3 linked regions of the Rhinolophus ferrumequinum genome follow. The protein of the gene in region 2 interacts with the protein of the main gene of each other region in a biochemical or structural test. Links are inferred from orthologs where the notes say so. Each region holds a gene or a part of one and is shown on either strand. Other genes may lie near its edges.

Region 1 (9,935 bases), on a different chromosome or scaffold from region 2:
GGGTTCTGCCCCCCCCACCTCCGTGGGGAATCTTATTCATCATTGGCCGCAAACCCTCTTTTGGAGACTAAATAGAGAGAAATATACAGTCCCAGAGATGCACAGTCTCAGACTATTCTTTCCTTAAGAAAAGACGGGGGGACAGTCTGCTAGGCTGCTGTGTGACAACCAGAGAAGTGGATCCAGACTGTTCCTAAGACCTTCATTTCCAGAAAGCGTTTTTGCCCAGAGGAAGAAGTGAAAATATTTTCTCTACTTTTGGCTGCTTATCATCTAGCTCAGTCACCTAGAAATCTGATTTAAAAAAAAACAAAAAAAGAATGACACAAACTATAACAAAACAGCTTCCTGGGCTCCTCCACAGGCCACTGAACCAGCACCTCCTGGGAGGTGGCTGGCTGGGAATCTGCAATTTAACAAACTCCTGAAGAGTGTGATGGTTAGGGCTGGGAATTACTGGATTCGAGCAAACCTTGCTCTTCCCACAGTGCTTGACAAGTAGAAGGTGCATACTAAACATTGAATGACTGAAGAACTGTCTTCAAGTACTGAAGGAAGATTTAACGATTGGATAATAAGCCATGTTGACAACACTTGGAAAATGGACTGTTGCTGTGAGTGTAAATTATTACAACTTTTTAAGAAGTGTAATTGGGTTCTATCTCAGAATGTTAAATGCTCTTACTTTCCACCCAGAAATTTCACTTATAGGAATCCATCCAGAAATATATGTACGATTTTACTGAAGCATTATTTGTAAGAGGCAAAAAAATGAGCATGAGAGGAAGGTTTCATGCAGCCATTAACAGGAATGCTACTACTGAAAGATATATGGGATAACTTGCCAAGTGCAAAAGGCAAGTTGCAGACTAGTATACATAATATAATCCTAAAAGATTCACCTGCATATGTTTATCTGTGTAAAGAAAAATTCTGGAAGGATGCAACAGTAACAACAGTGATTACCTCTGAGGCAAGGGGTTAGTCAGGATGGGAGAGAGATTTTTTTTCCATTTCAGTTTATCTTTTTCCATATTGCTTGGATTTTTAAAAACCATGATCATGCATTACTTTCAATAGCTTTTAAGTCTGGTTTAGTAATGGCATCGTGGTCTCAGGTGCTGGTTAGTGAGTTAAGGTTACTGATCTGTTGTGAAACTTCTGTGTCAGAAGATTCTAGCACTTTCATTAACCAGTAGGAAAGGGATGGAACATATTTGTAAATTGGGATAATGACCCCGTTCCTGCAATAGGGGTGGAGAGGAACAATTAACGCTATTGTTAATTTTTCAAAAATTGGAGGGGCTTTATATGGAAGAGAAACTCAACTTATTCCAAGTAGCTCTGGAGGGAAGAACTCTGGTCAACTTTGAGACAGTTTTAGCTCAAAGTAAGAAAAGCAAGGGAAAGCTTTGCTGGGCATCGGGCTGAGGCTAGGATGGGGAAGATAATGTCTGCTTCGGAAGGAGTGTGAACCAGAGACCTCTTGCAGCCGTGAGACCCCAAATGTCTTTTGGGATGCAAGGTTAAGTCGTCTGTGTCAGAATGTCTGAGTTCATTCAAATCCCACTCTGCCACTAAATAGGGCTGTGTGACCTTAGGCAAAGCACTTGAGTTGCGTGTTTTTTTATATGCATGGTGGGGATAATGACGCTACCTTACAGAGTTCTTGTAAGATTAAATGAAATGGTACATGTGAAACATTTAGCACAGTTTCTTTTCAAAAACTGTTAGCATTTCTTTGCTCTCATAAAAGATTGACACTTAAAAAAATTAACGAGAATCTGAGAAATAATTCCTATTATTGAAGTAGCATTTTTATTTTTACACCTTTGAAATATTTGTGAAAGCAGCTGAATATTGGATTTTTGAATTAGTAGACTGGTAGAATTGCATATACATGCGGATGGCTTTGCTTACAAAGGAAATTTTTAAGTGTTCCGGATTCTTGTTCGGTGCTGCCCTACAGTGGCTAATCATAGGAATGGCTAAATTGGCCTTTTCATATGAGTGCCCCTGAACCAGGGTGGGGGAATCAGGCAGGCGTGGGTGTCCACTGTCGGCCCAGAGGTGAGCGAGTCAGTCCACACATGGGAAAGGAAAGGCATGTTTTTGTGTTCACCAGGGACCCAGCCAAGAGGAAACCAAGTGCACTTTAATATGGTCTTGTCTCCTGTGTAATGTACTTAGCACATTTGACTTCTAATATGCTCAAGTTCATTTCTTGTCTAAAAACTAAGAACGTTGCTGAGCCACTGTGCTATATCTGGTGTGCCCTTGGCTTTCCTCCAAGGTTGTTGGAAGAAACAGCCACATGAAAACTACTTCTGCTTTTGTCATAAAACTTGTGGAAGCTGCTATGTCCTTACTGTCCCCTAAATAAGGTGGCCTGTGAAAAACTCTTAAAATTTAGGGCCAGGAGAAAGTTTGTATCCTCTGGGGAATTGGTAGCCATGCCTCTTTTATAATAACAGGTTCTCTGTGACTTAACATACTTGCTTCTCTGCCTTCGTTGCTGAGAAACAGTGCTAGGCTTGATGTCCAATCTCAGCAATTAAATTGACCCAAATGGATATTTGCTCTCTCGTCCTTTTCTAGTCTCTCCAGCCCTGGATTCTCCTTATCCCTGAAGAAGTCCTGAGGGCAACCTACAATGCACAACTAATGCCCATTTCCATTGTGCTCAGTCTGATTTGTCCTCTTGGCAGTGCATTAGCCTTGCTTCCCCTCCGTAAGGGCAGGCAGTGGATCTATCTTCCTGGACAAGCCCAGCATGTTATATTTACAAGGGACTCAGAGAGCATACAACACTCTCCTTTTCTACGTTTGTGGAAGAGGAAGCTCAGAGTGGCGAGGTGATGTGGCTGTCCAATTTTGGGATCACACCCAGGGTGTCCTTCATCCTTGCCTCCACATCAGGTTACAAGCCCCTGCCCCCTACTTCCCAGCTTGTCAGGGGAAGGAGCTGTGTCTCCAGAGGCCTCCTTGGCTTGGATAGCATCAGCCTTCCTGCAGGTCTGTCTCATAGACTGGGAGGGCAGAGGCCAGAGCCTGACTTCTGGGCACTGTCTCTGAGGCCTAATTTACCCCCCTGCTCCAGCTGGACGCCCAGAGCTGCACCCCAAGTCAGCAGCAGGACCCAAGTCTCAGAATGGCATAGAAGTCCTTGCCCTCTGCTGAGGCCATGCCCCAGGGAATGTGACCTCAGGCCAGTCTTTTGCCCAGTGGCCGTTTGGACCAGTGCTATTCCAAGTGTGGTCCCTGGACCCATGCTATTGGTTGCCTGTCCATATGAAGATGGGTACAGGAAGTACTTACTGAGAGCTTGAGAGTAAGCTTTTATAGCGATTTGACATGGTCACATCGTTAGAGCAGCATTTCATTTTTTTTTTACTAATTCATTTTTATTGCATTTTACAAAAAGCATTAGTCCCCCACAGATTGGAAGTTAAAAAAAATAATGACACTCTGTTCCTTGTTCGTGGATGCTTTGGGAAGTACTGCTCCTGATCCTCTTTTCCAGCGGGCACTGGCCTTGGGGTGCTCTCCAAGGGCTGTGGTCCTGTGAAGTTCTCCTTTGGGGCAGGTGGGGGCGACAGAGACATAGGTAATATTTCCATCCCCAAGCAAGCGTCCATTTGACCATTCTGGATGCTAGGACACAGGAGAAAGGCAGGGTTTGGTCTTCCTGTTTGCCTCAGCTGAGAGCAAAATCACCAGGGCAAACGTCCAGGAGGACCATCCACAAGTAGATGGAAGGAATGGGAGGCTCCTTGCTAGGGGTCTCTTCCTAGAGAAGTATAGCTCTGTGGCTTGGGCTCTATAGCACAGGACTCTGAATCTAGCTGCCTCCCTATCAGTCAGTTGCTGTGAGGCCTTGGGAAAGCCATTTAGACTCTTGGAAAGCCCAGTTTACTCAAGTGTAAAGCGACCATATTAACAGAGAAAGTATATTAAATCATTGTCTGAATATTACTGTTTCCCCGAAAATAAGATCTAGCCCGACAATCAGCTCTAATGCATCTTTTGGAGCGAAAATTAATGTAAGACCCAGTCATGGTATTATATTATATAGACCCGGTCTTATAAGTAAAATAAGACTGGGTCTTATATTAATTTTTGCTCCAAAAGACTCATTAGAGCTAATTGTCCGGTTAGGTCTTATTTTCCGGGAAACGTGGTAATAACTGCCGGAAATAAACACAGTAAGTTTATTTCAGGCATGATCTACCATTATCAAATTTTATTAAATTATGTTAAATACTTAAATTATAAGTATTTTCTTAAATAAAAAGTATGTTACCATATGCCATTTTACCATCTTCCTTTAAAAAAATTTCGTTTTTCCTCCCCTTGGTTCATTTATTTTAAGCTTTCACCTCATTTTAAGCCTCTTTATCACTATGATATAAAAAGGTTTCCTAAAGTCTTCCACAAATATTATTTAACCCTCAAATGGGGTGGAGAGAGCAAAGCCAGTATTACACTGTTTACACATAACAAACTTCGCAAGGTTAAATGCCTAGATCCAGGCCACAGAAGTAGTCTCTACCTGATTCTAAATCGTATGCTAAGATTATATCGTCCATGCCTCTTAAAGAATGGGTGGGTGGATAAGCAGCTACTAATACACTAAAAGGAGGAGATATTTACATACGAAAAGTTATCACCTTCTAAAAAGTTTAAAGTGCGGCAAGGTACAGGAACTCTTGATAATACTATAATTTTTAAGAAACGTGGGCTGGTCCTGACGAGATGTATAAAGGCTCAAATACTCAAAGGGCTTCAGAGCAAACCCAAGCCGGTAAAAGCACCGCATTGACTGGCAGATTCCATACGAAACAGTTGTCTCCCACGTGTCTTGCAGGAAACCCACAGAGCACGAGGAATAAAGAAAGCCAAGGAGAGGTGGGGGGAAGGTAAAAGCAGCGGATAGGGCTTCCCTGGGAGCCCGAGTGAGCGCGAAGGTTGGGACGGGATGGAGGGAATTCTCAGCGGATCTGGCAGGCAGCGAGTTCTGAGAAGACACCTGGCAGCAGCATGAGGGAGGCGTTCGGCGTGCGAGCGGGCTGCCCGCGGGCCGCGCCCTGGGCAGCTCCCTGGGGTTTTTGCTTCTCCGGTTCGAGAGGTGTTGGAGGAGAAAGCGCGGAAGACAGCAAAAAAGGGAGGAGACGCTAGAATAGCCACAAGCGGGCAAGAGTCCGAGTCCGCGCGAGACTCGGGCCGGGGGCTGGCCGCACCTGCAGGCCCTCCCGAGCCGCCGTAGCCCCGCCCCCTCTGCTCGTGGCGCCAATGACGCTTGGCGCGCGGGCCGCTCTCCTTACAGAGGTCGCTCTTGTCCGAACGGTCGGCCTGTGCTGCGCCTGCGTGCTCGGGAGGGGAAGTGAGGCGGTTTCCTCGGCGCCTTTTCCGGTGGCGGCGGCGGCAGAGCTGGGAGGAGGCGGTGGAGGCCGGAGGGAGCCCGCGCTCGGGGCGGCGGCTGGAGGTAACCTCCCGGGCCGAGCTGGAAAGGCAGGCCACCTGGACCACCGCTCCCCTCTGGAGCTCCGGCTGTAATTCCCTTTTCCCTCTCTGTGTCTCTGCAGGCAGCGCACCGAGTTCCCGCGAGGATCAATGACCTGACGAGGCGCCGGAGCCTCGCTGCCTCGGGTGGCCTGGGTCGGTGGTGAGCCCGGCGTTCGCGGACCGGCGGGCGGGCCACAGGGTCGCAGTCTCCCGCGGCTGAGTGAGGAGAAGGCGGAGGAGCGGGAATCGCAGCGGCGCTCGCGCGGCGCTCGCGGGGGGAAGGGCAGTTCCGGGCCGGGCCGCGCCTCGCCTCAGCAGGGCGGCGGCTCTCCCGGCGTAGACTCAGGGCCCCGGCGGCAGCGGCGACTGGAGAAATCAAGTTGTGTGGTCGGTGATGCCCGAGTGAGCGGTGGGCCCGGGCCTCTGTCCCGAGGAGGCAACTCCCACGCAGGCCTCACGGGCGCCCTCGCGGCTGGGAGGCTTCGTTTCGGTTTCGCGGCGGCGGCGTTGTTGGCAGAGGGGACTTGGGACACCTGAATGCCCCCGGCCCCGGCTCCTCCGACGCGATGGGGAAGGTGCTATCCAAGATCTTCGGGAACAAGGAAATGCGGATCCTCATGTTGGGCCTGGACGCGGCCGGCAAGACAACAATCCTGTACAAGTTGAAGCTGGGCCAGTCAGTGACCACCATCCCCACCGTGGGTTTCAACGTGGAGACGGTGACTTATAAAAACGTCAAGTTCAACGTGTGGGATGTGGGCGGCCAGGACAAGATCCGGCCGCTCTGGCGGCATTACTACACCGGGACCCAGGGTCTGATCTTCGTGGTGGACTGCGCCGACCGCGACCGCATCGACGAGGCCCGCCAGGAGCTGCACCGCATTATCAATGACCGGGAGATGAGGGACGCCATAATCCTCATCTTCGCCAACAAGCAGGACCTGCCTGATGCCATGAAACCCCACGAGATCCAGGAGAAACTGGGCCTGACCCGGATTCGGGACAGGAACTGGTATGTGCAGCCCTCCTGTGCCACCTCAGGGGATGGACTCTATGAGGGGCTCACATGGTTAACCTCTAACTACAAATCTTAATGAGTGTTCTCCACCCATCCCCCGGAAGGAGAGAAATCAAAAACCCATTCATAGGATTATCTCCACCATCACCTCTTTCAATTGCCACTTTCTCTTCTTTTGAATTTGAACTCTGGAGTTGCTCTTCTACAGTTTGGGGGGGATTAGGGATTTCCTTTTTGTTTCTTTTTTCTTTTTTTTTTTGCTTTGCGGTAGGATGCTCTGATCTGATATTTGACATGAACACAAAGTGCTAGATGCTCTTGTTGACTTCCAGCAAATGGGATGGGGGAAATATAGCAGTTCTTGGTAAAGTCCTTTATAATAATGGTATGATTTTTTTATTTTGACAGAATCTTTCCTTCCAATGTATGCTTTTTTCCTTTTTGCCCAGTTTCCTTATCACTTGCTGTAGATGGCTTATTTTGCATTCATGCAGACTATGTTGCAAGTCTGTTTCATCTAGTAAACTGAAAATTATTGCTTAATCAAACTGCCGTTTGTCTTTTATATTTAAGGCCTTTCCCCCCTCCCTTATGAGTTACAACTTTAACTTAGTAATTTCAAATGTGACCTTTTATATCTAAGACCAGTATAGAAAACTCAGCCCACAGTGGCAAGTGAGTAATATTGTAATATGTTCCAGTTGCACATCAGTATGTTAAACAGGTAATATAAGAAGTTCTTTGAAATGTCAGCTATTAAATTCTGAAACATACATCATGCATGAGTAGGGATAAAACTCAAGTTCCCCATTACATAGCTAACTTAACGCTGCATAAAAATATAAAATTGTAACCCGTCTAAGGACACAGATTTTTGTCACTGCAAAGTTAGCAATTTTGCTGTGTTTTCCCTCTTTTCTAACTTTAAAAAGACTTTCCAGAAAATGGAGCAATAATGGTGTATCCACCCACACACAGTCAAAATATTTGTAGATATTTTAAGTGACTTGGGCAAAACTGGAATATATACTTTTACCATGTTTCAATGTCTAAGACCAATAGTTTTTAAATTACTAGAATGTTTACTTTGTTCATTAATGAAACATTTAACAATTCAAATTTTATATGCACCTTTTACCTAGTTGGAAATACACACATTCCTGTTTTCACATTACAGCAACTGATTGAAGATAAAGTCTTTCTTTTTATAGTTTAGTGATCCACACCTCCATGAATTAGAACACTGGAAGAGTTTTATAAAAGTATTTAATTCTGTTTGATTGTAGAATTAACTCATGCAAATAGTAAGTCAGATATCCTGTTGGTTCAGTAATATACTATCTTCTTTAAGGAAGGAAATGTGATGAATGAATGTGTGTAGACTTAAGGAATGACAAAGGGGACATTGGATGAAGAAAAAGAACTTACAGATGACAATGAATGTAAAATTATTTTTCTTCAAGGATAAGCAGTGTGCTCACTGATACCAGATCCGAACAAGATTACTTGCTGAACTGGTTAGGACTGGTAACTAGATTATTGAGACCACTATGATAAATGATACTTTGAACCAAATGTTAATGCCTGATAGAAAATTGTGAAGCAGCATCTGGTTCTTATGTAGCCTTAAGGATTAATTTTAGAGATCCTCAAGGAATTAAACTTAGGGAATTTCAGAAATGTAAAGGCAGTATACAGGAAAAGATGTGGGTTTTATGAGGGTGTCTGACAACTAAAATTGAGCGGGATATCATGGTATATAGTTGGACAGTATTGGTCCATCATGCTTTGGCCATATCGTATAATGGAGCTTTTACCAAAGATGTATGGGAAACATAAGGTGATAAAAAAAATTAACTATTCAAAGTAAAATTCGACATTTTACTTAAAGCAGATGAGCAAAGGTGCTATGACATAGGCTCCTGATGGTGTAGAGAGATTTTTGAATTAAAAATGTAACTAAAGTATAAAGATCTCTGTTTCACTTTAGTAGATGTATCTCTAGAAATGAAGTTGACAGACACATCTTAAGAACATTTTAGTTGCTTTTAAAATTCCCATAGTTCCATTATAAATTTCTTAGTGTTTTACATTTTAAGGTACATACATGGGTAATACAAATATTATCAATGCTATAACATCCTGAAACAAGACAAGCACAAAGGTATAAATGCCTAAACTGGAGGAAACTTGAAACCCTCGTGTTAATTCTTAAATGTAGTATTTCTAACTTGTGACAGATTGATAGGCAGCCTTTTTTTGTGTCTTAATAACTGGGGGCATAATTAAAATTTTATACATCAAGTGATTGCTATTGAATGTTGCAGGTGAGATGTGGTTATTAGTTTATTCGAAATGTCTAACTGAAAGGGGGAATGGGGGGGAAACATTGAAATTTGGAAAACCCTAAAACTTGGTAAGAAATTGTAATTTTCACTTAACGTTCTCTTCAAGGATATAAAAGGCTGATAATTGATGTAGTTAAATTGAACCATAGCCATTGATGATCATGGGGCAGGTAATTACAGCCTGCTGGAAAAGTTAGAGTCTAAGAATTTGAAACATGAGATCCTGAAGTTTTTGTTTAATTGCATCAATTTCTGTATTTATGTGAATTTATAAACTGCAGTAAGTTTTGAATGAGGTTAATCTTGTCTAATATAAGTAAATGAGTCTGTAGACTGTGATTGCCCCGAACTAAAAAGTACAGTACTTGGAATTGTGCTCTTAATGGTTGTAGTGTTGGTAAAGAACTAATATGAAGAAAATAAAGGAATTACACAGTGCAGTTTCTCACGTTATATTACTCGTTTGAACTAGATTAAGTGGGACATGTGGTGTGTTGGGCCATATTCTCCAGGGATATATGGTATAAAGTGGCATAATTTGAACGTCACCTAGCTTTTATAAGGATAAAAAGAATCAATTTGGTTCTTGTAATGCTGACTCTAAAAGGTTTTGCCCTAATTTAGTTCCACCAGACAATATGATAATCTAGTACATTACGACAGTTGAAAATAATTTTTAAAACAATTGAAAATAATTTTTAAAAATTAAGGTTCTATAGCAGTTTTTATTATGCTAGTTTTGTGTGTGTGTGTGTGTGTGTGCAAAATCACAACCTCAGAATTTTTAGGAGTACAGAATTTTGTCTATAAAGAATTGGCCTAAAGAATCATCTTGACCCTTGGCAATTGACTTGGATGTTAGACTTTTAGAAGCCAAAGTTGCTTATCTGATAAGAATGGCAGAATTGTAGACATTTAGAAAGTAAAATAGTAGCTGAATAACTTGTTGGATAAAAGGGATTTTTAAATACATTTCCTTTTTTGTGAACATTCCCTCTTGTATTAGTAGTTTTCGTAGTTTGATTTTAGAATTTCTTAGTGTAATCACTAATATGATTTAACCC
Region 2 (10,828 bases):
ATCTGTTTCATTTTTTGTAAAATATAAAATAATAATAGTATCTACCTTATAGGGTTGTTGGGAGGATTAAATGAGTTAATGTATATAAAGCCCTCAGAATAGAGCCTGGTAGATAATAAGTACTTGATGTAATTGAAATGTGTTAGCTACCGGTATGTATATTTGTTGTTCAGGGCACTCGACCAAGTGCTGTTGACATAATGGTGAACAAGCCATAACAGGGTTCAATGAGGGCATAAATAAGGGCATGGGCAACCCTCCCTGGGAAGGACAAAAGAGAGTCACAGAGTCACAGTGGGCCTTAAAATTTAAGGCCTTAAAACAATAGTTTTCCAGACAAATAAAGGGAATTCTGTTTAGTAAACTCAACTGAGCTCTCAACACTGCCTAAAAATCTATGGTTTTTTTTCCCAGTTCACTCTTCCATTCTGTGCAAAGACTATTTCAAACATCCTGCACTCTCTCATGTTCCATTTTCTTCTACTTTGCTCTATGATGATAACTTCACTTCCTATTAAAAAGAAAAACAAAATCAATCAGGGTTCTCCAGAGAAACAGAACCAATAGGATACAGGTCTATATCCATAAAGAGATTTATTTTAAGGAATTGGTTCACATGATTGTGGGGGCTGGCAAGTCCAAAATCTGAAGGATAGGGCTGCATGCTAGAAACTCAGGCAGGAGTTAATGCTGTAGTCTTGAGGCACAATTTCTTCTCAGGGAAATCTGTTTTTGCTCTTAAGGCCTTCAATTGTTTGGATGAAGCCCACCCACATTATCGAGGGTAATTTTCTTAAAGTGAATTAATTGTAGATGTTAACCACATCTATAAAAATACTTTCACAACAACATCTTGATTAGTGTTTAAGTAACTGGGTAAAACCATCATACATGCTATTTAAAAGGAACTCTCTCATTACTCCGAAACCATATAAAAAAATACTTAGATCTGCTTTTATCCATTCCTCCCTCCTTCCTGTTACCAATAAAAGGTATGCCCCCTCTCTCTAAAGTCGCGCTCTAGACCTTTGCTCTGGAACTATTCTCTCGCCTTCATTCACCCAACAAATATTTATTGAGCATCAACTATTTTGGACACTACTTTAGGTGTTTGGTTCCATCAGTGTACAAAACAACATTGGCAAAAACACCTGATTTATGGAGCTTATATTCTAGTGGGGGACACAAATAATAAAAATGAATAAACTATATAACATGTGATAGTGCTATGGAAAAAAAAAACAGAGCAGAGATTAAATGTAGATTCACTTCTGTCTCTTTTAATTAAAAACCTTTCTCTTGTTATGTAAATAGTAGATTGAGCAGGGAGGCTATTGAAAGATGTTCATTCAACAAATATTTATCGAACACATATTATGTGCCAGGCACTGTGATAAGGATACAATGGTGAGCAATACAAACAAGGACCCTGACCTCATGAGCAACTGTTAGAAGTGCTAATGCCAAAAACAAGAAGAATTATGGGAGCCAGAGTCTGCAAAGAATTGAGGAGAGTATTTGCACTAAGTACTCAAGAATGAGTAGTTCAGTAGGTAAAGTAGTGGGAAAGCATTGCAAGGCAAGAAGCAGCAAGTGCAAAGGCCTGGAGATGGGACAATGTATGACAGGTTGAAGGAATCCAAAGGCCAGTGGGGTCAGAACAGAGGCAGAGTGAGGTGTGGTTCAGTTCAATACAGTACTAATAGCCCAGTGTCTGAGTCACTAACAAGATAAAGCTGAGGTAGGCAGGAGCTGGATCATGCAGGGCCTGGTAGGGCTTGTGTAGAATGTCAAGCTTTTATCTTATGAGTGCGAAGCTATTGCAAAGTTTTAGGCATCGGTTTGTGTTTTCTGGCTTAAGAATGGAGAACAGATTGGAGGGGTGCAAAAATGGGTATAGGGAGAAGCAGCAATTGCAATAATCCTGGTGAAAGACTATGAAGATGGAGAGGAGACAAAATCTAAAGGGGTATTTAGAGATGTAAACTGTAAAGATTTCACAATTGAGTGACGGAAGGAGTGAGGTTTCCAGCTTCTGCAATTGGATGAGTACTAGGTGTAGGAGGAAAGTTTATGAGGAAACATGTTGAATTGGGTGTGTTTTTGAGATCCCTAAATGGAGATGTCAATCAAATAGCTTGGAGGAGAGATCTGGGAGTCATCCGTAACTAAAGCTCAGAGTGGTGAAGAAACAATACTAGAAAAAACAGACTGAGAAAGAGCAGAAACTAGAGAAACTTAGATTTAAAAGTTGGAGGTGGGGAGGCCTGCAGAGGAGGCTAAGCTACAGCCAGAGGTAGTAGTAAAAGTATGAGTGGAATCGCAGCCGCCAGTGGAAGACTATCGATGATGAGGAACTATTAGTAGTTAATAGTACGAGAGGCTACTGAGAAGGGAAGTAAGCCTGGACTTGATTCAGGGATATGAAGGCCATATCCTCAGTAAGCCAGGGTGACCTCAGTTAAGAACCATTTCAACAAAATAAAGCTTCCAGAAGTCAAAACAGGTCGGGTAGAAGAATGGGATGGAGAGGGCCAAAGTATCCAACTGTTTTGAGTTTAGCTGTAAAGTAGAAAAAAATTAGGATAGCTGGGGGCAGGGGTGAGGTACAGAGTGGTTTGTTCTATCAGGAGAGTCTTTTTTTTTTAAAAAAAGATTTTATTGGGGAAGGGGAACAGGACTTTGTTGGGGAACAGTGTTTACTTCCAGGATTTTTTTCCAAGTCAAGTTGTTGTCCTTTCAATCGTAGCTGTGGAGGGCACAGTTCAGCTCCAGGTCCAGTTGCCGTTGTTAGTTGCAGGGGGCGCAGCCCACCATCCCTTGCGGGAGTCCATCCGGCAACCTTGTGGTTGAGAGCCTGTGCTCCAACCGAGCCATCAGTGGCAGCTCAGCTCAAGGTGCTGTGTTCAATCTTAGTTGCAGGGGCGGAGCCCACTGTCCCTTGTGGGACTCAAGGAGTCAAACCGGCAACCTTGTGGTTGAGAGCCCACTGGCCCATGTGGGAATTGAACCAGCAGCCTTCGGTGTTAGGAGCACGGAGCTCCAACCGCCTGAGCCACCGGGCTGGCCCAGGAGAGTCTTTAGCAAGTTTAAACACTGACGAGAATTTAGTAAAGTGGGGAAAAATCAGAGATTCTAAAGGAAGGAAGAACTAAGATTCAGAGCAAAGGAATAGGCCTTAAGAGTAATAGGCCTTAAAAGTAATCACTACAGGAGAGGAAGAGAATGATGCAGATGTGGATGCGTGACCCAAGTTTGGTGGCCAGATGTTGTGAGAATTCCCAACTGACAACTTTTACTTTTGTCTATGAAGAAAGATATGATTATCTGCAAGAAGTGAAGAGAATGGTGTGTGTGTGTGGGGGGGGTAAGCTAATAAGAGACTTAAGAATATTGGTTTGAAATACTCATTTCAGCAAGCAGGGAGACGACTAGAAAAATCCAGTAGGATTATAGGGGCTGAGGCTCTACTTGAAGCTGGTAACCATGGATTCAGTGATATAAATCTGATCTGTAGTGATGTCCTTGGGCGGCTTTTAGTTCTCCAAATGCAAGTACAAAAGTTTCATTTTATCTAAGAGTCAAAAAAAGAGAGATGAGTTAAGCAAATGCAGCTTATTCCAAGAGGATCAGTAGAATTTAAGCCAAATAGGAATCTAAAGACAGGAAGGTGTTAATGGAGAGAAGGTAGAAGCAATGACCTAACTGCTCCAGTGAAATCAAAGACAGTAGAGGAATAGTTCCATAAATAAAGTGGGAAGAATATGGTAGATGAATAAGATGCAAGTAATAGTGTTTTGGAGATACAGCAGTGTGAGGCGAAGACAATGGCTAGGACACAACCATGGGAACGGGTGGCTAAGAGAATGAAAATCATTGGCGATTGGGTCAAAAGCTAAGAGACCAAAATACTGAATGGAGTGCCCATGTAAACATTAAGTATCGACGGGTAGATACGAAGACCAAGGGCTGGCTATTTAGTGGAAAGTAGAAGAGCAGTAGTTTCTAAGGACAAGTAGAGACGGTGGTACACTTGAATAGCCTCAAAGGAATCAGACTTTGCAAAGGAGTAGGCAATTATATTCTGAAGCCACCTGGCAGGAAAACCAACCCTAGAAAGGCAAAAAGCTGATTGGAGTTACTTTTCTCAATAGGTAAGTGTGCGTAAGATATGCTTCTAGTATCTTCTGGATTCTTGCTTCCTCATCTGTTAAGTGGGGATAATACCTTTTACTTGTAGTTTTTTCATAAAGATTAACTAAGATGAAGCATGACATATACCAACATCAGAACCTGTACAAAGTGGGGGCTCAATAGATATTATTTTGTGAGGTAAACTGGTATAGCAAAAAAAGTAAAAAACAAACAAACATGGATTTTAAAGGCAGATCGGTATTTTAATACAATGTCTGCTCATAGAGAATTTCAACTTCCCGATCTGTACAGGGAGAAAACGTGTGCTTTGAGGGTGACTGTAAGAAGTTATTTTTATTATTGTGGGTGCCAATTATCTATGAGCTTCCATTTCCTCTGTAAAAAATGAAAGGACATGGTCACCTGATGGGAGATAGCGGAGGGTGAGATGGGGGATTAAGGAGAGCAGTGAAGGTGTAAATAACTGCCTTGGTGATTAAGGAGAGCAAATAGACCGGAACCCACAAGGATTGCTTATTGGTAGTAAGAGCTTGGTTGAAGTTGGAGACCTTTAATATTTAGTCGCATTTATTATACAGCTGTGTTTTTCTCTAGCAATTTGAATGGAGGAACAGAAAAGATTAAACAGCTGGAACGATACAAAAAGGACACAAGGGCAGCAAGAAAATGGGGTGATGGAATGATAGGCCATTTATACTGCTGAATGCAGAAGTAAATTCCACAAGGGGGCAATAATGAGGAAAGAATGGATAGACTGGAATTAGATAGAAATCACAGAACAGGCACAGTGGGAACAACATGGGGTAGAGGGTAGAAGAGCTGGAATTAGAAGATTATAGATAAGCACTGAGACATTAAGGTAACATTAAAGAGCCTGAAGATTTAATTTTATCCCTTTTTTTCCCCATAATCACTACCATCTACTTCTCCCTTGGGTTTCTCTTCCTCAAGTCTGACAGTATTGCAGAATTCGGCCTAAGTTTTCCCCTTTCTTACTGCCCCTGAAGACAAGCACACAGACCTTCTTTGCTTAAAGGTTTTACTGCTCATTCAGGAAGACAGGAAATAGTGAGAAAGTAACAACTTGGGGAAATGGCTGAAGTTCCAGAACACCCCTGAATTCTTACAGGTTTCATCTCTGTCCTGGAGCTACTGATTTCCCAGTAGGTAGTGCCTAAAAACCCTGTGATTTCTTGATCTACTGTCCTTAGACATCTCCTCCTTTCCCTAAATCTGGCAGAATTCCTTCCTGTAAAACACAGTCCACAAGAAAATAGCTATAAATGAATGCACACCTGGCTCACAAGTGAGCCATTAAAGTCAGATTTATGTGAAGAAGAGCTAGACAGAGCTCCCATTTTCTCTGTCATCTGGGCAGGAACCAATTTCCCGTTGCTATTACCAACCTTAAAATTGTACCCACAGACCTTGCTTTAACCAGGTGCCTGGGAATGCTAAGGTTTGCGTCCATACAAAGAAGGCACTTTCTCTGCAGACAGGGCTAAAGCCAGCAGATATTCACTAACTGACAGAATAAAAGATGATGCTAATAAAGTAGGCAAAGCTTCCCTGCCCAAAATATAAACCAAACAGAATAAAAGCAGGTTTATTAACTCTTCCTGGAGCCACAGTACCCAGCTCTCAGGCAAGCCCTCACTTTCTATATACAGGCTGGACCCAGCCCAAGCAAGGTCCCTGGAAAGGGGTTCATCTCCTGATGGGGAGAAACACATGGGTGGGGATAAGCTTCAGGAGAACACAGTCTTTGTCTCGTTCACTGCTGTGTTGCATGGCCTCAAATAGTGCATGACACATAGTAGGCACTCAGTCCACTGGCTCCTTCAATTTGAGGGGCCATCCAGTGCCTCCCTTCCTGGGGTTGGGGATGGCTAGCTGCCTGATGGCGAGGTTCCAGGCTGTTCAGGAGCAACACCTGGCACAGCTGAGGCAGCCTCGTAGTCTGCGATGCGGCGCTGTACCAGGGCAGGCATGAGCTGCACATAAGCAGCCATGAGGCGATGGTTGGAATGGATCAGCTTCCCAGCACAGCTATGCAGACAGGCTTCCTGGAAGGAAGACAGGGTGGAAACAGGGGCCAAAGGTGTCCTGTCAGATCCGTTTCCTTCCTTCCCATCTCCAACCTAGGGGCGAGGGACATGGAAAGGCCCTGGCCAAAGGCAGTGGAGGAAGGAAGGAAGCAGATTACGGTTAACTCTGAGGATGAAGAGTAATCCCCTACTCGGTCCCCCACCTCCTCGGCATCCAGGGCTCGGTGGTGCAGGCTGGGTACGCAGCGCTGGAAGCAGAGTTCCGTCATCCGATTGTAGACCAACAGGAAGTCCCGCAACTAGGAGAGAAGGGGACCAAGAACTCAGCTATAAGGGGGCCCACACCTGAATTCAAGGCCGCGCCTTGAAGTTTACCAGGACCGCGCACCACAGCCCGATGTCCCTAGCCCTCGGATCCCTAGCTTTTTGGGGTTCCCGCCATGCAGACGGCGAGGACAGTTGAATGTAGGGCTTTGAAGCCACATGAGCTGCCACTCACGTTTCTCAGCTGCTGCTGCTGCTGCTGCTGCTGCTCCATCCCGCCACAAGCTCACGTCCTGCGTCACTTCCGTTACAGCTTCTCGGTAACGCCCCGGAAGTTATCTGTCGTCCATCCCCAGGGACTGAGGGGTTGACTCAAGGATCGTCCTGCCCCCGGCTGCTAACGTCACCTCCGCCCTTATAATCTGCGACGTGGCTGGCTTCTTCTGCCCGGGAGAGGACGTCACTTCCTCCGAGTCCCTGACCTGCTGCTAGGATCGCGACGGGAGCTGGAGCCCGAGGTCCCCCCGCGGCCCGGGCCTGGCGCCCTGAGGGGAAGAGCGGCCTGTCCTCAGGTGAGAGGGCCATACTTGGGCAAGGGGAAGTTGAATGCATGAACCTGTCTTGAGGGCAAGATACCTCTGAGCCTGGGAAAGGATGAGGACACACCTGATGCCCAGGTGTATTGGGGTGGGGGGTGGGGGAAACACACCTAGGGAAACATAACCGACTTTGGAAGCCATCACCTATGTCCTGGGGAAAAGAGGCTTTCCCAGAGGCTGGGAACATAAACCAACTGAATCAACTAAGGCCTGGTGGGAAGAGCCCGAGGAAGAGAAGGTGCATGGTATGGAGAAGGGGGGAACGGTCTGAAGGAAAGGGGAAGAAACACTAAAGGGGTGTTGAAAGGCTAAGCGATGGAGAACATACTGAGCCTTGGAAAGGGGTTCATCTCCTGATGGGGAGAAACACCTGGGTGGGGGTGAGCTTCAGGAGAACACAGTCTTTGTCTGGTTCACTGCTGTGTTGCACGGCCTCAAATAGTGCATGACACATAGTAGGCACTCATTAAATGTCTGTTGAATGATCGAATGCATGAATAATCATCGGAGTCCTGGTGAAGTTGGAGAGTCATGAGAAGACACCTGAGCATGTGTAAAAATATGCACCTTGGAGGGAAGAGGTACATATACTCGCACTATCTGAGGGAAGGAGTGGTAGCCACACTCCAGAACACTCTACCCCTGGGACAACCTCTAAAACCTCAGAAACGGTAGGGGAGACATTTCTCTTCTGTGGTCCTGGCCAATTTCCAGAACTATCTGTGTTGGGCTTTGCAGGGCGCTGGGGTGGAGACATTGACTCCAGTCCCTTCCCTAGCCATGACGGACGGGATCCTAGGGAAGGCAGCTACAATGGAGATCCCCATCCATGGGAACGGCGAAGCTGGGCAGCTTCCTGAGGATGATGGGCTGGAACAGGTGCATCTGTTTGATTCTTCTCCTTATTGTTCAATTTAGGAATCCCAACTCATAAACCCTGGCCTATTCCAGTAGCCTTTCCTAACTTATCTAACTCCCTTCTTTTTACAAATTTTTGTTCTGATTCTGTGCAGACTTCCTTTGTGTGCTCTCTCTGTGATGCTTCAATCCAAGTTTGTTCTCACCCCCAAAATGCTTCAGCTGTCCCTATGTTCCTGAAGCCCCCCCCTCTTCTCTGGCCTATAGGACCTCCAGCAGGTGATGGTGTCAGGACCCAACCTCAATGAAACTAGCATTGTGTCTGGTGGCTATGGGGGCTCTGGTGATGGACTCATCCCCACAGGTATGAATGATCAGAACAGGACAGGAAGCTTGAGTGGAGAAGGGGAGAGGAATGGTTCTGGGGAGCATAGGATATGTGTAAGAAAGCTTGAGTTACCTCTGGAGATCTTGGAAACCTCTGCTAGTGTGAATCCTGTGGACTGTCTCAGCCCAAGACCAGTTCCCAGGGTTGTTCAACTGCCTCTACTTGCCATTTCCCTTGAGATGTGCCATTTCTCTGCTGCTACCACCTAAGTCAAGTTAAGAACTCTGTGCTCTGGAGCTTGGGCTGATTTGGAGATTTATGAGGCTTTTCAGAGTTTTACTTTAGACTCTAAAGTTTAGAGGGACAAGCAGCCCTGAATCTCACACGGACTAGGGTTCCACATGGGAATGTCAACTAGGTTGCCTGTTATCAGGACCCACCATCCTTGACCTCCCGCCCCACACTCATCTTATTTTCTTGTTTCCTCTGCCCCTGTACACCAGCAGCTCCCTCTTCCCTCCCCCTCCAACCCCACCACCACCTCAGAAGGAGGCCAGATGTTTTTGGGATTTGGGTCTCAGGGCACAAGGTATGAGCTGCTCCTAGTAAGTAGGAGAATCTGTCTCCAGCTTCTGCTCCCTCAGGGAAGTCATGTTCAGGTGCTGGGAAGGAAGTATGGGTGGAGCCCCAGAGGCGTCTGGTTGTATCTGAGAGAGGCTAGAGTCAGAGAACTTGGTCCTTTAGGGTCTGGCCGCCATCCATCTCACAGTGCCACTCCTGCTGGCTCCGGAGATGAGGTGGCTCGGGGCATCGCTGGAGAGAAGTTTGACATCGTCAAGAAATGGGGCATCAACACATACAAGGTGGGCTTCAAGCAGCTCTCCCTTCCCCCAAACTCCCTCTGGGTACCTTTTGGCCTTCTCCCAGATCCTAATAGTCCATCTATATTCCAGCCTGGGTATGCTGGGGTAGATACCTGTTCGGGGAGCAGGGTGCTAGGGTCTCTGACCTATTCCCCCACTTCCCAATCAGTGCACAAAGCAGCTGTTATCAGAGCGATTTGGCCGAGGCTCCCGGACTGTGGACCTGGAGCTAGAGCTGCAGATTGAGTTGCTGCGTGAGACGAAGCGCAAGTATGAGAGTGTCCTGCAGCTGGGCCGGGCACTGACAGCCCACCTCTACAGCCTGCTGCAGACCCAGCATGCACTAGGTGACGCCTTTGCTGACCTCAGCCAGAAGTCCCCAGAGCTTCAGGTGCCTCAGCCAGGCCAAAGAAAGTTGGGGGGGACTGGGCCCAGGCCCTCCCAGGCAGTCACCCCTCAGCCTCCCTCCCTCCATCCCTCCTGCAGCCCAGAGGGAGAATCCCTCCAGGGTGAGCCCAGCCCTGTCCCCAGCAGCACTCACCTGTGGAGGCAGCCTAAGGGTTTGTACGGAGGTCCAAAGTCGGAGGGGCAGGGGGCGGGGGCACACTAGGTGCCTCACAAGTAACCCTTCTCTGCATTGGCGAGAATGCCTTTGGTGCTCAGCCTAATCAGAGCTTCTCCCTTGCCTGCTGCACTGGCTTTCCTTGTTCTAGTCCTGTGAACTTATCTGAGAACCTCACCCCCACATTCCCACCCCAGGCATCCCCAGGGTGGCCCCACTAACTTTCTGGCTAAGAAAGCCTTGCTGGAGGCAGTCCTTGGTTGTTTCAGTTTTGATGACTGCTTCCTTCCTGGGGAAAAGGGGACTAAAGGGCCCTACAGCTCCAGTCAGGTAGGGACTATTTCTCAAGGCCTGTCCCTCCTTTCTACCCTCAGGAGGAATTTGGCTACAATGCAGAGACACAGAAGCTGCTGTGCAAGAATGGAGAAACACTGCTAGGGGCTGTGAACTTCTTTGTCTCTAGCATCAACACATTGGTCACCAAAACCATGGAAGACACACTCATGACTGTCAAACAGTATGAGGCTGCCAGGTGTGGGCACTGGCAGGGCCTAGGGTTTTGGGAGTTGGCTGGCTTGGGTGGAAGTTGTGATTAGGGGCATAAGAATTCAGGAAGGAAAGAAGAGAGTGTGTGGAGGACATGGGGGTGGAGATGAGCCTATATAACCCCCTCCCCAGGCTGGAATATGATGCCTACCGAACAGACTTAGAGGAGCTGAGCCTAGGCCCCCGGGATGCAGGGACGCGTGGTCGACTCGAGAGTGCCCAGGCCACTTTCCAGGCCCATCGGGACAAATACGAGAAGCTGCGAGGAGATGTGGCCATCAAGCTCAAGTTCCTGGAAGAAAACAAGGTGCCAGCCCCACCCCTTTGACCTCAGCCCATCTTTCCATCTGTAATACTGACCCTCCCCCAACCTTCCCCATCATTGGCTGGGGAAACGCAGCCTGGCTAAGGAGTGCGATCTTCCCCTAGCCCCCTCAACTCCTGGACTTTTCCAGGTCTCCCTCCCTCTGACTCCTGGCCCTTTTCTGTTGAAGAATTTGGCTGCTGCTCCCAGGATCATAACAGAAAAATCACCCCCTGAGCTGGGGTACCAGAACCCGAGGCCTTGCCAATCATGTTAGGTTTCTCCCATCAGATTGACCCTC
Region 3 (10,810 bases), on a different chromosome or scaffold from region 2:
CAGAAATTTCCAGGCAGTGAAAACGGCATCATCTCTTGCCAGAAGGCCACCAGCTCCCACTGGGGGGGAGCCGCATGATCACTTGTTTCTCCTCGGGACTGAAATGCAAGATAGTCAGGATGGCTGTGAGTGTCTGCTGGCGGCCCAGGCTGTCGGGCAAGGTCAGGAAGCGGTAGATGATGTTTTTGAGGTACTCGAGGTTGGCTCCCTCCCGGCTCTGGTCCCTGAAGTTCTTTTCAATGTGGCTCTGCAGGACCCCGACCTCCTCACGATGCCGCTCGCCCTCCTCCAGCAGCCGCTCCTGCAGCTGACGGACCTCGACCTCCAGCCTGTGTTTCTGTTTCCTCAGCAACGTGATCTCCACCTCCTTGCGGGCCAACTGCTCAGCGTACAGGAAGAAAGTAGGCTCGTTGGCCGCAGCTAGTTGCAGGGCTTGGGTCAGGCTCTCCGAGGAAGTGACCTCGGCCGGGTCCCCAGGACCTCCGCCACCCACAGGGCTTCTGCGTCCCGGCAGCCCGGAGGACAAGGCCACGGAGCGCAGTTGCTCCAGCTCCAGGTCCTTCTCGGCCAGCACGGCCAGCGCCCGGTCGCGCTGCCTGTGCAGTTCCTCCTCCAGTTTCAGCGTGCGGTCCCTGAATTCCAGCTGGCTCCGCTCCAGCTCCTGCCGGTGGTGATGCTGTAGCCGGGCCAGCTCCTGCTTCCAGTCCTCGGCCTCCTGCTGGTGTTGGCGCTCAAGCTCCTCGCAGGACAGACGCAGGGAAATATACTTCTCCTTGAGCTCTGCAAGCTGTTCCTGGGCTTCCTCCAGCTCCTTGGCCAGGTTGCCGTCTTTGCTGTTCTTGCTCTTGAGGACGACCTGGGCCCTCACCTTGTACCTCTCAAACTCTTCCTTCAGCTGTTTCAGCTCCTGTTGGTAGTAGAGCACGGTAGCCTTCTCCCCGTCAGCGGCCTCAGAGCTGGGCATTATCTCCAGGTCGCAGAGCTTCTCCACATCCAAGGTCACCTGGCTTTTCCTGGTCGCCACCTGCAGTAGCCTCTTCAGCTTCTCCATCTTGTCCTTCAGGACATTGACGTCCAGACTGGACTCCTCTCCATGGCTGTCTAGAGGGGACCGGCTGGAGGCTGCGAGAGCCAGCGTCTTGTTCTCCAGGTCCAGCTGCATGATGCGCTCCTTCAGCTTCTGGATGGCCAGCTGGTCCTTCTGCTTGGCTTTCTCATATGTGCCCAGCAGTTCCGACACCTCAGATATTTGGTTCTCCAGGGCTGCCACCCTCTGCTCTTCCAGCTGAGATTGCTGACGTCGTTGATCCTCTGCGAGGGCTGCCTGTAAAACAAGGAAACAGATGGAAATGCATCCAGAAACGCCACAAAGCGCTATGGCAAACTTTGAGAGCACCAGAGAGGACAGCCAAAGAGTCACAGAATGGGGATGGCCTGGCAAGAACGGGAACTGGGGATTTTTTGGTTGATCTGGGAGCTAACAAAAGTTCCTGTAACTTGCTTGCGTTCTGCTCACAGACACATGTTATACCAAACAATTAAGAACCTCTGCATACCTGCTCCTATTCTGGTTTCGTACTTCCATTGTCTCCTATCATACACCAAACTCACGTATAAAGAGTGCTTTCTTCATTTATCATGTGTTTCCCCAAATCTTATTATGGAATCATCTCTTCCAATATTCCTGGAAGATCAAAACTGAGTTGGACCTCTCTCCACACTGAATGGAGGCACTATAAAAATAGAATACCTTTCCAGAGTTGGCAAAATCTTGGCTGAAAGCCGTTACAAAAGGTCATTTCCTCTGAGAAAACTCCCTTTTCCCCCTTCAGCCATCCTTCCTATAGGCATATACCACTACCTACACATAGGCATACAGCTCCAGTCAGACACACGACCTTTTCACTGCATGTCTGCCACAGTACTGCTTCGCAGAGCACAGCGGGTAAGATGCCAATGCTAGATCTGTCTGGCTCCAACCCAGCCTACACTTAGAAACTCTACATCCTGTTGGAAACATGCTCTGTGGATACTGTCAACACCACATAGAACAGAATTTCCAACTCACCAATAAAACATTTTGCATCAAAAATTGACAGTGCAGCCACTGAGATCTATCAAAGGCGGAAAAACAAATATTTCCCATTTCAGGTTTAAATGACTTTTTGAAGGAGATGGAGATAATTACCTTCCTCATTTCCTGCTGCAACTGAGCCTGGAAATGGCTCTTAAGGCAGGCAGCTTCTTCCTGCAGCTGCTGCAGCCGGGGGTCTGGCTGATTCTTCTCATCCTGGAGAGCCTGCAGCTGACCTTTGAGCTCCTCCACCTCACGGGTCAGCTGTCGGGTCTGCAGTTCAAACCCTTCCATCTGACCAGCTGCGTATGCCCGCCCTGCCAGGGCTTCTCGGGTCTCTTCCAACCGAAGCTCCAAGTCTTGGCGCTGGGTCCTCTCCTCCTGCAGCAGTTTCTGAAGCTCACGCAGCATCAAGGCATGGTCACTCTGCTCCTGGGCCCGATCGTGCTGCTGTGTGATAAGTCGGGCTTTGGTTTCCGCTATCTGCTCCTGCAGCCCCTTCAATTCTCCCTCCAGACGGCCCCTCTCTTCCTCTGCCTTTTTACTGGCATCCTCTAAGTCCTGTTTCATCTTCTTCTTGTCAGCCAGGTAAGAAGCTTCCATGCGGGACTTCTCCTGGGTGACTGTAGCCAAAGCGCTGGTCAAAGTAGCCAACTGAGTCTTCAGCTGGTGCAATCGTTTGTCCACCTCCCCACCTGCAGACGGTCCATCCCCACTGCTACTGCTAACACCACTCTCCGACCCGCTGGCCTCTTCCGACTTTGGAGGTGGTGGTCCACGGGCCAGTCGGTCATCTTCTACCCCAAACTCACCCTTGGTGCTAGTGAGACTGGCGACAGTATCCAAGCTAGTGGCGGTCCCAGTGCTATCCTCGCTGTGAGTGGAGCATCGGTCATCCACGTTGTCAGGACAGGTGAGGCCTGGAGGCGGGCCATCTGCCAGGCCCACATCCGCCTCTTGGGATACTGACAGCACCTTGATGCTGGCCTCTAGCGCCTCTTTCTCTTTCAGTAAGCTTTTATAGGCGCGAACCACATCCTTGAGACGTGCCTGGTACTGGAAGAGCTGCTTCTTCTGCGTCTCAATGGTCTCCAGCAGGTCCTTTTTGCTGGGGCCACCCCCGAAATTCATTCCAAACTTCTCCATGAGGATTCAGAACGGGTGGTTCCACGTCAGCGTTGGGGCAGCCCGGGAGACGGTCGCGGGGACGCTGGCGGGCGTTGTGGTCCCCGCGGCCGCACACCCGCTCCTCCCAGTTGTCCGAGACCGACGCGGGGAGGCGGGGCAGCGGGCAGAAGCGCCACCGGGTCCGGGGTACGGAAGGCGGGGGCGGTTCCCACCTAGAGGCGGGGTGACGCGGGCAAGAGGGGAGCACACAGCCAGGGCGCCCCCGCCCTGTCCCAGAAGCTGCCCCGCGCTCCCGCCCGCGCCGGCCACAGCAGCCCCTGCGGGACCTCGGCCCACTGTCCGCCAGGGGTTTAAGCGGAGCGCAGCCCCTTCGCGACTTCCGAACTACAGCGGCCCGACAAGGGCGCTTCCGGGTCCGCTGGAAGTGACGACAGCAAGACGCCGCAGGCTCCGCCCCAGTGGCCAGAGGAGCGCGGGGCCACCCCAGCCGGGGAGTGCTCGGCCGCGGCCTGTGGGGAACCTGGCGAGGCTTTCTCTCCCCGGGAAGAGCAGCACAAGCCAAGCTAAGGACGCGAGTGATGTTGATTTCGTGAGGTTCACCCGAGCTTGCCTTCAGGCTACGATCAGCGAGGGACAGGGGGCGACGTCGCACTGAGTCCTTACTGAACAGCTCGCGACGTGTCTCCACTATTTGGGAGCTCAGTACCTTTGTCCCTAAAGAGCAACAATTAAGACTCTCATTCAAACCACGAACACTGCAACCCTTGCTAGTACAGTGTTTGGCACCTGGAAGGCGTATAGTATAATAATTATTAGCACCCTTCCTGAGTTCTGCTGAGTTAATGCAACAAATGTTTGTAAAGGGCATCCGTATGGCCAGGACGTCGGTCTTTAGTGCCAACTATATTCCAGGAGCTTTGCAAGAGTTTTGGTATGTAGTCATTACAATAATTCTGCTCAGTGGGTATTGTCAGCACTGTTTTACAGATATGGAAACATGAAGCACAGAGACGTAAGTAACATGCCCAAGGTCGCACAGCTAAGTTTAGGGATGCTATCCAGATCAATCCAACTCTCAACATACCAAATGCTGTGCCAGGTGATCACTATGATGAGACAAGGTCCTGCCCTCACGGAGTTCCCATCTAGTGAAGAACCAGGCATGCAAACACAAGTCCTGCCATCGTACCGGTATGCATAAGTATATTCAAAGTGATGTGGAGGAAGTCCTGTCTAGGGGAGGCAGAGAAGGCTCTCAGAGAAAATACTTTGGGATGTGAAGGATGAGTAGTGACTACCCATCTAACTAGAGATCAGGGAAACAAGCATTCCAGGCAGAGGGAAAAGATTACGAGGACTCCTGTGGCATCAGGGAGGCTGGCTCACCTGGAAAGCATTGAGAAGCATCTCGAGGCAGTAGTTTAGGGTATGTGAAGGAGGTGGCAACAGACGGGGCTGGCCTAGGAGGTAGGGATCCAAATTAAGGCATTAGATTTTATCTTTGGTGATAAGAAGACACTAAAGGATTTTAATCACAAGAGTGGTGTCATCAAGACTTGTATGCCAGGGTGGCAATAGCAAGGGGCAGGAGAACTGTGAGGAGACTGTTGCAGTCATGGAGAAGAGATGGTACTGAAATATGGCGGTGACAACAGTGATAGAAAGAAAGAGGCTAATAAAAGAGCTGAAGATGTAGAACTGACCTGACTTGTTCATCGCTAGTTGTGTTATTATATTGGGACTCTTTTAAATGTATTCTTCGACCTTGTAAAAGTCATCCTAGGAATGCAAGTGTGATTGAAGAGTAAAGTCATGCACTCATACCTGATGCCCAAAGTCTGTTCTCTTTACAGACTTGCAGGTCTGGATGGGGCAGGCCCTGGAGCTCTGTTCAGACCCAGTTTCTTAGTGGCCCAGGAAACATCCAGCTGTTTTATACAAAACATTCAGATACAGTATCTCATCATTTTAATCTTTACCATAACCTCATGAGATAGGACAAATATCAGTCTCTTTTTATAGATAAGAAAATGACAGCTTGAGAGGATTGTTGAAGGCAAGCCTTCAAAAAAAGGCAGAACTGAGATTTGAACGGAGGCCTGGAACAATGGCATACAGTAGGCATTCAATATTTGTTGACTGAGTGAATGAAGGTTCTCTGCTTCCCAGCTCACCTCACCATGTCCAGTCCATAAGCAACTTGGCTCCAGAACAGGCAAAACACCTGTCCACGCTCCACTGAGCAACCTACCAGTCCAGTTCAACCTAACAAGCATTTGTTAAGCATAAGCCTGGCATGATCCAGTTTTTGCCATAGAAGATACTTAAATGAATTCCAATCTGGCTCTTTCCCCTCCAACGCTAAGATGAATGGGGAAATTACTGGAGAAGCTCTTCGGGCCTAAGGAGGCAACCACATCCTCACATCCTGGATAGGTGTGCATTAATAATGCAGGCTGCCAGGTCTGTGGCAAAGAGAGGAAGGACTTCAGAAAGGCTGTCTGGGTCCAGACTGAAAAGCTTTGCTTCCTTGCACACCCGGGCGAGTCTACGGTTCCTGAACCACCTACTGTGCTCCAAGCCCCTCCCTCACTGGGAGCTGCGGGGGCAAAAGGGAGGTCTTAAGACGACTGCACGGAGCTTACGCACCTCTAAGAGGGTGGTGCACACAGTCGAGGCTGCCAGTTAGAAAGAACTAAACCGGAGACCAGAGTGAGCTGGACGCAACAAACCAAAGCCCTGCGGCGGGCCACGGAACATGGGGGTGGGGGCCGCTGCGGAGCACTGAAGGCTTTCCTCCGCCCCCCTCTGACTGCCGGTTCAACAGCCACAGATGTGCCAGGCGTGCTAGAAACGGGGAGACCCTGGCCCTTTCCCTCTTTAAAACCGGCGCGGGACCCAGCCAGGCTGCGGAGATTCGCTCAGCTTCGGCTTCTCCCGGAGCCCGAGGCGCGGGGCGGGGCGGGGGGCGGAGCTAGGAGCGGAGCGCGATGGGGGCGGGCCCGCCGTGACGTAGGGCGGGCCGCGACGCGCGGAGGCGGTGGCGGCACCTCCCACTGCTGCTGCGCCCCATCCCCCCGCGGCCGGCCGGTTCCAGCCTGCACCCGGTGTCCGTGTCCGTGCCCCCTCCCCGGGCCCCGCCATGGGCCTCACCGTGTCCGCGCTCTTTTCGCGGATCTTCGGGAAGAAGCAGATGCGGATCCTTATGGGTGAGGCAGATCAAGCGCGCGGCCCGGACGGGAGCGCCGGCCCCCGCGCAGCCCTCCCGCCCCCGCGTCCCTCCAGGCCAGCTCACCCCGCTTTCTGACTCTGAGTCACCCACCTTCTAAACCCCTGGGGCCACTGCTCTCGGGCGGGTCACAGTCTGCAGCGCCGCTCCCGGGGCCTGAAACCGGGAGCTGCGGGCCTGGGTGGGGTGACGCTCCCTCCGCCCCAGCCCGGATGGTAAGAAGGGAGGATTCCGCCCTTGGAGGCCACTTTTAAAAGGAGCGCGGTCCTCCTCCTGTACCCCTTACACCCCCAGTCCTCGCCCGCTTCAGGGGCAGCAGTTGGCGCTCATCACCCGGACTGCCCTTAAGGCCCGGAAGGTAGATAACAGCGCGCACCTGGAAGCTCTCGGGCTCTCCGCCCCTGTCACCGTCAGCTGTCCTGGCCTCTCCCCTTCCCTGGTCTCTAGGGGGCTCCCTCGCTCCCATCTCCATCCCTATGCCCCTCTTCTTTGCAGTTGGCTTGGATGCAGCTGGCAAGACCACAATCCTGTACAAATTGAAGTTGGGGGAGATTGTCACCACCATCCCCACCATAGGTGAGTCAGAGGAGGTGAGATTGGGAGGAGCTGGAGCGTGGCGGCCAGCTCAGGGTCTCCTCCTCATTCTGCGTCTCCGTGCTGGGACCTGACACCAGATACAGCTACCTGAGAAGTGGGTCACATTATCTTTACCTGCTGGATGGTGTGAGGAGGGGTGGATGTGACCTAGCCCCGCCCTGCCAGTTGACTGCCAGTCTTCTGGACTTCTCTTCCCTTAGACCTTGATCATTGCCTTCTGATTTGTGTCCCTGCTGAATGCACTGTAGTTTAGTGAGTTCCTTCCAATCACGACTTTTTCCTCATATTTTTTTCCAATTATCTTCAGGCTTCAATGTGGAAACAGTGGAATACAAGAACATCTGTTTCACAGTCTGGGACGTGGGAGGCCAGGACAAGATTCGACCTCTGTGGCGGCACTACTTCCAGAACACTCAGGTGGGGGGCGAGGGTGTCTCCCCAACCCCAGGGGAGGAGGTGATAGCATTAGGAAAATTGTTGGCCTAGGCTGGGCCCCTGGGCCAGGAAAAAGCCTTACCCCTCCCTAACCCCCCTTTTGTAAGGTAAGCCTCTACTCATCCTTCAGAACTGGCCTTCGTCTTCTGAGACTCAGCCACCTTTGGCATCTTCTGAGAAGCAGGGTTCTGGGTCCAGGCTGAGTTAGCTCTCATCACATGTCTCCCTGTTCCCATGCATGTCTTCTATCTAGACTGCTTGTCTGAGGGCAGAAGCTGTATGTATCCTTTGCAGGGTGTCACCACTTTGTGCCAGGATGTCTGCAGAGCCTTAGTGGAAGTTTACTAGATGAGAAGGGTTTAGACACAATTAAAGAGAGAAAGCCAGACTCGGGTATGTCCCAGGTGGGAGTGATTGCTCCTCCTTCCTTCCTTCCCACCCAGGGCCTCATCTTCGTGGTGGACAGTAATGACCGAGAGCGGGTCCAGGAATCTGCTGATGAACTCCAGAAAATGGTGAGCACCCAGGGCCCTGGGAACTGAGCCCTTAGCTTGGAAACAGAGGTCGCTGTGCTGGTGTGAATGTCAGGAAATGCCTCATGGGCCTTGAATGTACAGTGCTCTTGGTGGACACAGGTACATGGAGAATCTCACCCTGTTTTGAGTTTGGGTCAGGTAAAAAGTATAGGATTGACTTTTTCCTTGAATTCTCATGTCTTCACATCTGAGTCTGAGAAGTTGGGGAGAGGGAAGTTATATGCGGTGGAGATAAACATCATCGTACCTTCTTGTTTTTCCATTGGGAAATTTTGTCATTTTGACTAGAACAAGTACTAGAACAAATTAGAAAAAGGTCCTTTCTGGACTTAACGCCAAAATGGTCTCCAGCTGACTTATAACTATGTCCTGTGTTCAGCGGGCGACTACACGATGTTATATTTTTCCCACAAATATGCTAGAAGGTGGGAAAAGGGGGCTCCCCTACACAGTGGGAAAGAGGGAGTCTGGAGACCCCAAAGGACCCCAGATTCTACTCCCTTGGCCTCTCTCAGCTGCAGGAGGACGAGCTGCGGGATGCGGTGCTGCTGGTGTTTGCCAACAAGCAGGACATGCCCAACGCCATGCCAGTGAGCGAGCTGACCGACAAGCTGGGCCTGCAGCACTTGCGAAGCCGTACGGTGAGGGTCTCGCCTCTCCCAAGGGAGCCACAGGCTGGGGCAGGAAGTAAAGGCACCCCCCTCCCTTTTTGTTCCCTGCTACTGACCTCTTTCTTTCTTTCGCCCCACAGTGGTACGTCCAGGCCACCTGTGCCACCCAAGGCACAGGCCTGTATGATGGGCTGGACTGGCTGTCCCATGAGCTGTCAAAGCGCTAAGCAAGCAGGGGCCAGCCCCTGCTGCCCGGAAGCTCCCGCGTGCATCCCCGGGATGCCCAGACTCCCGGACTCCTCAGGCAGTGCTCCTCCCTCCTGCTCCTCCTCCCACAGACACAGGTCTCTGCTCCTGCCCCTCCTGCCTGCATGTTCTCTCTGTCGCTGGAGCCTGGAGCCTTGCTCTCCGGGCACGGAGGGGTCTACTCTCCTGCCTGCTGGGACCTGTGGAAGGGACTTCCAGGGCCGGGGCCCCTTCTTCCAGAGGAGGAGCAGGGATCTGGGTTCACTTTTGTTTTTTCCATTTTGGGTGTACCCTTGGGCTAAGTGGGGAGGGAAAGTGAGGGCTCCAGGTGGTGCTATGATGTGGCACTGGATATTGAGTAATAAATTTGCTGTGGTTTGTACACGGTGTTGTCTGTAGCCTAGAAATGGGGCGCTGGGTTATTGGGTGCAAAGAGACAATATGGGGGAGGCTCAAAGCAGCCTGCAGGGCCAACCCCCCTCTCCCCAAGCATACACACACACATTGCTACCTTCGTCTAGCTTAGCTTCTCCCTCCTTATCCTTGAGGCTGCAAATATTTCAGGGGTTCCAGTGTAGGGAATCCCATTCCTTCCCCAATTTCAAGGGGCCTTTGCTGAGAGTAACCTTCCTTTGCATGAGGATCTACCTTCGTGCTTCTATAAACTACTTAACTCCCATTCGTATTCACCTCCTAAGTAGCCGTGGTCCTTAGTGATTACGATGCACATTAAAATTTGAGGGTGAGAGAATATTCATTAAAAAGAAGGTTCCTGAAGCACACTTGAGAAAAAGTGACTCATCAGGACTGGTCTGAGGCCCAAGAATATGCATCTTTAAAATCAGCCAGGTGGTTCTGTCGAGTAGCCTTATTTTATAAAACCGGGGATTACAGTCCCTCATTGTGTATCACTGGGACTTCCTACCTGGGAAGACCCTGCCACAGGGACTAGGAACCAGTCTGGGCAATTCTCCGAGCCTGGTTCACTGCCCATTTCCCTTTGCATCCCAGCAAAGCTTGAAACCCACCATCAACACCATTATTTCTTTCTGCCTTTCTCCCTTTTTTCATGGCAGTTTCTCCAGGTTGTGGGCTGGTTTTCTCCATGAGCTTTGTAGGAAGTGAGTCCAGAGGCTAACGGCCAGCAGACTGGGACCTGGGCTGGTATCCTGAGAGGCAGCTCTGACTGTGTGTGCAGCCGGGATGCAGCTGGGGGTTAGGACGAGGGTGCACAGGACTCTCCCCACCTGGACCATTCTCCACCCTGCCACTGAGCCAGTCCTTCTTGATTAATAATGGGAAATTTGATCCTTGCTGGTTATCTAGCCAGGGTTTCCTCACTCTCCCTGAAAAGTACCTTCTGAGACATTGTGGCTTTATCCTCCCAAGGGCCATAAAAATCAATAGCTTTTTCTTGGATATCATGAACTCCAAAAACACTTGAGCCCCAAGAGAGCCAGGCAGAACCTACTTCCTGGGAGAAAAGGGGTTGATTTCTATCCTGTGATTAAAAGAAACAGAGGTGGAGAAGGGGAGGGACTTGCCTGAAGTCACAGGTGGTCACCGGCACCGGCTAAACCTCTGATGCTCAGTCCGCTCAGCCCACCGGGGTGCCTGGAGTGGGGTGGGGAGGCTCCTACAGGAGGCCTGCACACGCTTCCTCTGGGCCATGGATTGATGCTGCTGGGCCAGTGCCCTTTCCCCACGGGTGAGAGGCACCCCTCACAGTCACAATGCCCTCCGGGTCACAGAGGTGCTGCGCCCTAGGCCAGCCTCTGCCTGGAAAGCCCCCCTGGGAACATCTGGGTACTTGGGCCTGATTCCGGTCCCTATGGCCTGTGGAACCTCACCACCGGGGGGAAGGCTGGGCCGGACGGAGTCATCAGTGGTGCTGCCGGCCCCATGGACGAGGTGGAGTGGACACCGAGACACCCCAAGCCGGAGGACCTAAGGG

Evidence for each region. The genes of interacting proteins can lie anywhere in the genome.
Region 1: the proteins of ARFIP2 (region 2) and ARF6 form a complex in vitro, tested with the Homo sapiens proteins (2 studies listed by BioGRID). The link is inferred for Rhinolophus ferrumequinum from reciprocal best matches to the Homo sapiens genes ARFIP2 and ARF6.
Region 3: the proteins of ARFIP2 (region 2) and ARF5 form a complex in vitro, tested with the Homo sapiens proteins (2 studies listed by BioGRID). The link is inferred for Rhinolophus ferrumequinum from reciprocal best matches to the Homo sapiens genes ARFIP2 and ARF5.

Annotation. Positions count from the first base shown.
Region 1 is NC_046289.1:42,164,578-42,174,512, reverse strand, and holds ARF6 (ADP-ribosylation factor 6), read left to right. Parts: upstream 1-5,485; intron 5,486-5,585; 5' UTR 5,586-5,626; coding exon of another isoform or gene 5,627-6,042; 5' UTR 6,043-6,071; coding exon 6,072-6,599; 3' UTR 6,600-9,311; downstream 9,312-9,935. Other genes in the region: collagen alpha-1(I) chain, read left to right, coding at 5,293-5,485, 5,627-6,042. UniProt on the Homo sapiens protein: GTP-binding protein involved in protein trafficking that regulates endocytic recycling and cytoskeleton remodeling. GTP-bound form plays an important role in the transport of multiple palmitoylated proteins form the Golgi to the plasma membrane.
Region 2 is NC_046294.1:45,322,608-45,333,435, forward strand, and holds the start of ARFIP2 (arfaptin-2), read left to right. Parts: upstream 1-6,901; 5' UTR 6,902-7,039; intron 7,040-7,804; 5' UTR 7,805-7,846; coding exon 7,847-7,945; intron 7,946-8,191; coding exon 8,192-8,288; coding exon of another isoform or gene 8,289-8,293; intron 8,294-8,949; coding exon of another isoform or gene 8,950-8,996; coding exon 8,997-9,115; intron 9,116-9,284; coding exon 9,285-9,506; intron 9,507-10,051; coding exon 10,052-10,209; intron 10,210-10,355; coding exon 10,356-10,530; intron 10,531-10,678; coding exon of another isoform or gene 10,679-10,804; exon of another isoform or gene 10,805-10,815; intron 10,816-10,818; coding exon of another isoform or gene 10,819-10,828. Other genes in the region: TIMM10B (mitochondrial import inner membrane translocase subunit Tim10 B), read right to left, coding at 6,045-6,221, 6,407-6,502, 6,703-6,741. UniProt on the Homo sapiens protein: Plays a role in constitutive metalloproteinase (MMP) secretion from the trans Golgi network. May have important functions during vesicle biogenesis at certain cargo subdomains, which could be predominantly utilized by secreted MMPs, such as MMP7 and MMP2.
Region 3 is NC_046309.1:18,178,194-18,189,003, reverse strand, and holds ARF5 (ADP-ribosylation factor 5), read left to right. Parts: upstream 1-6,216; 5' UTR 6,217-6,344; coding exon 6,345-6,411; intron 6,412-6,926; coding exon 6,927-7,007; intron 7,008-7,335; coding exon 7,336-7,445; intron 7,446-7,906; coding exon 7,907-7,978; intron 7,979-8,514; coding exon 8,515-8,640; intron 8,641-8,750; coding exon 8,751-8,837; 3' UTR 8,838-9,238; downstream 9,239-10,810. Other genes in the region: GCC1 (GRIP and coiled-coil domain-containing protein 1), read right to left, coding at 29-1,324, 2,189-3,220; FSCN3 (fascin-3), read left to right, coding at 10,759-10,810.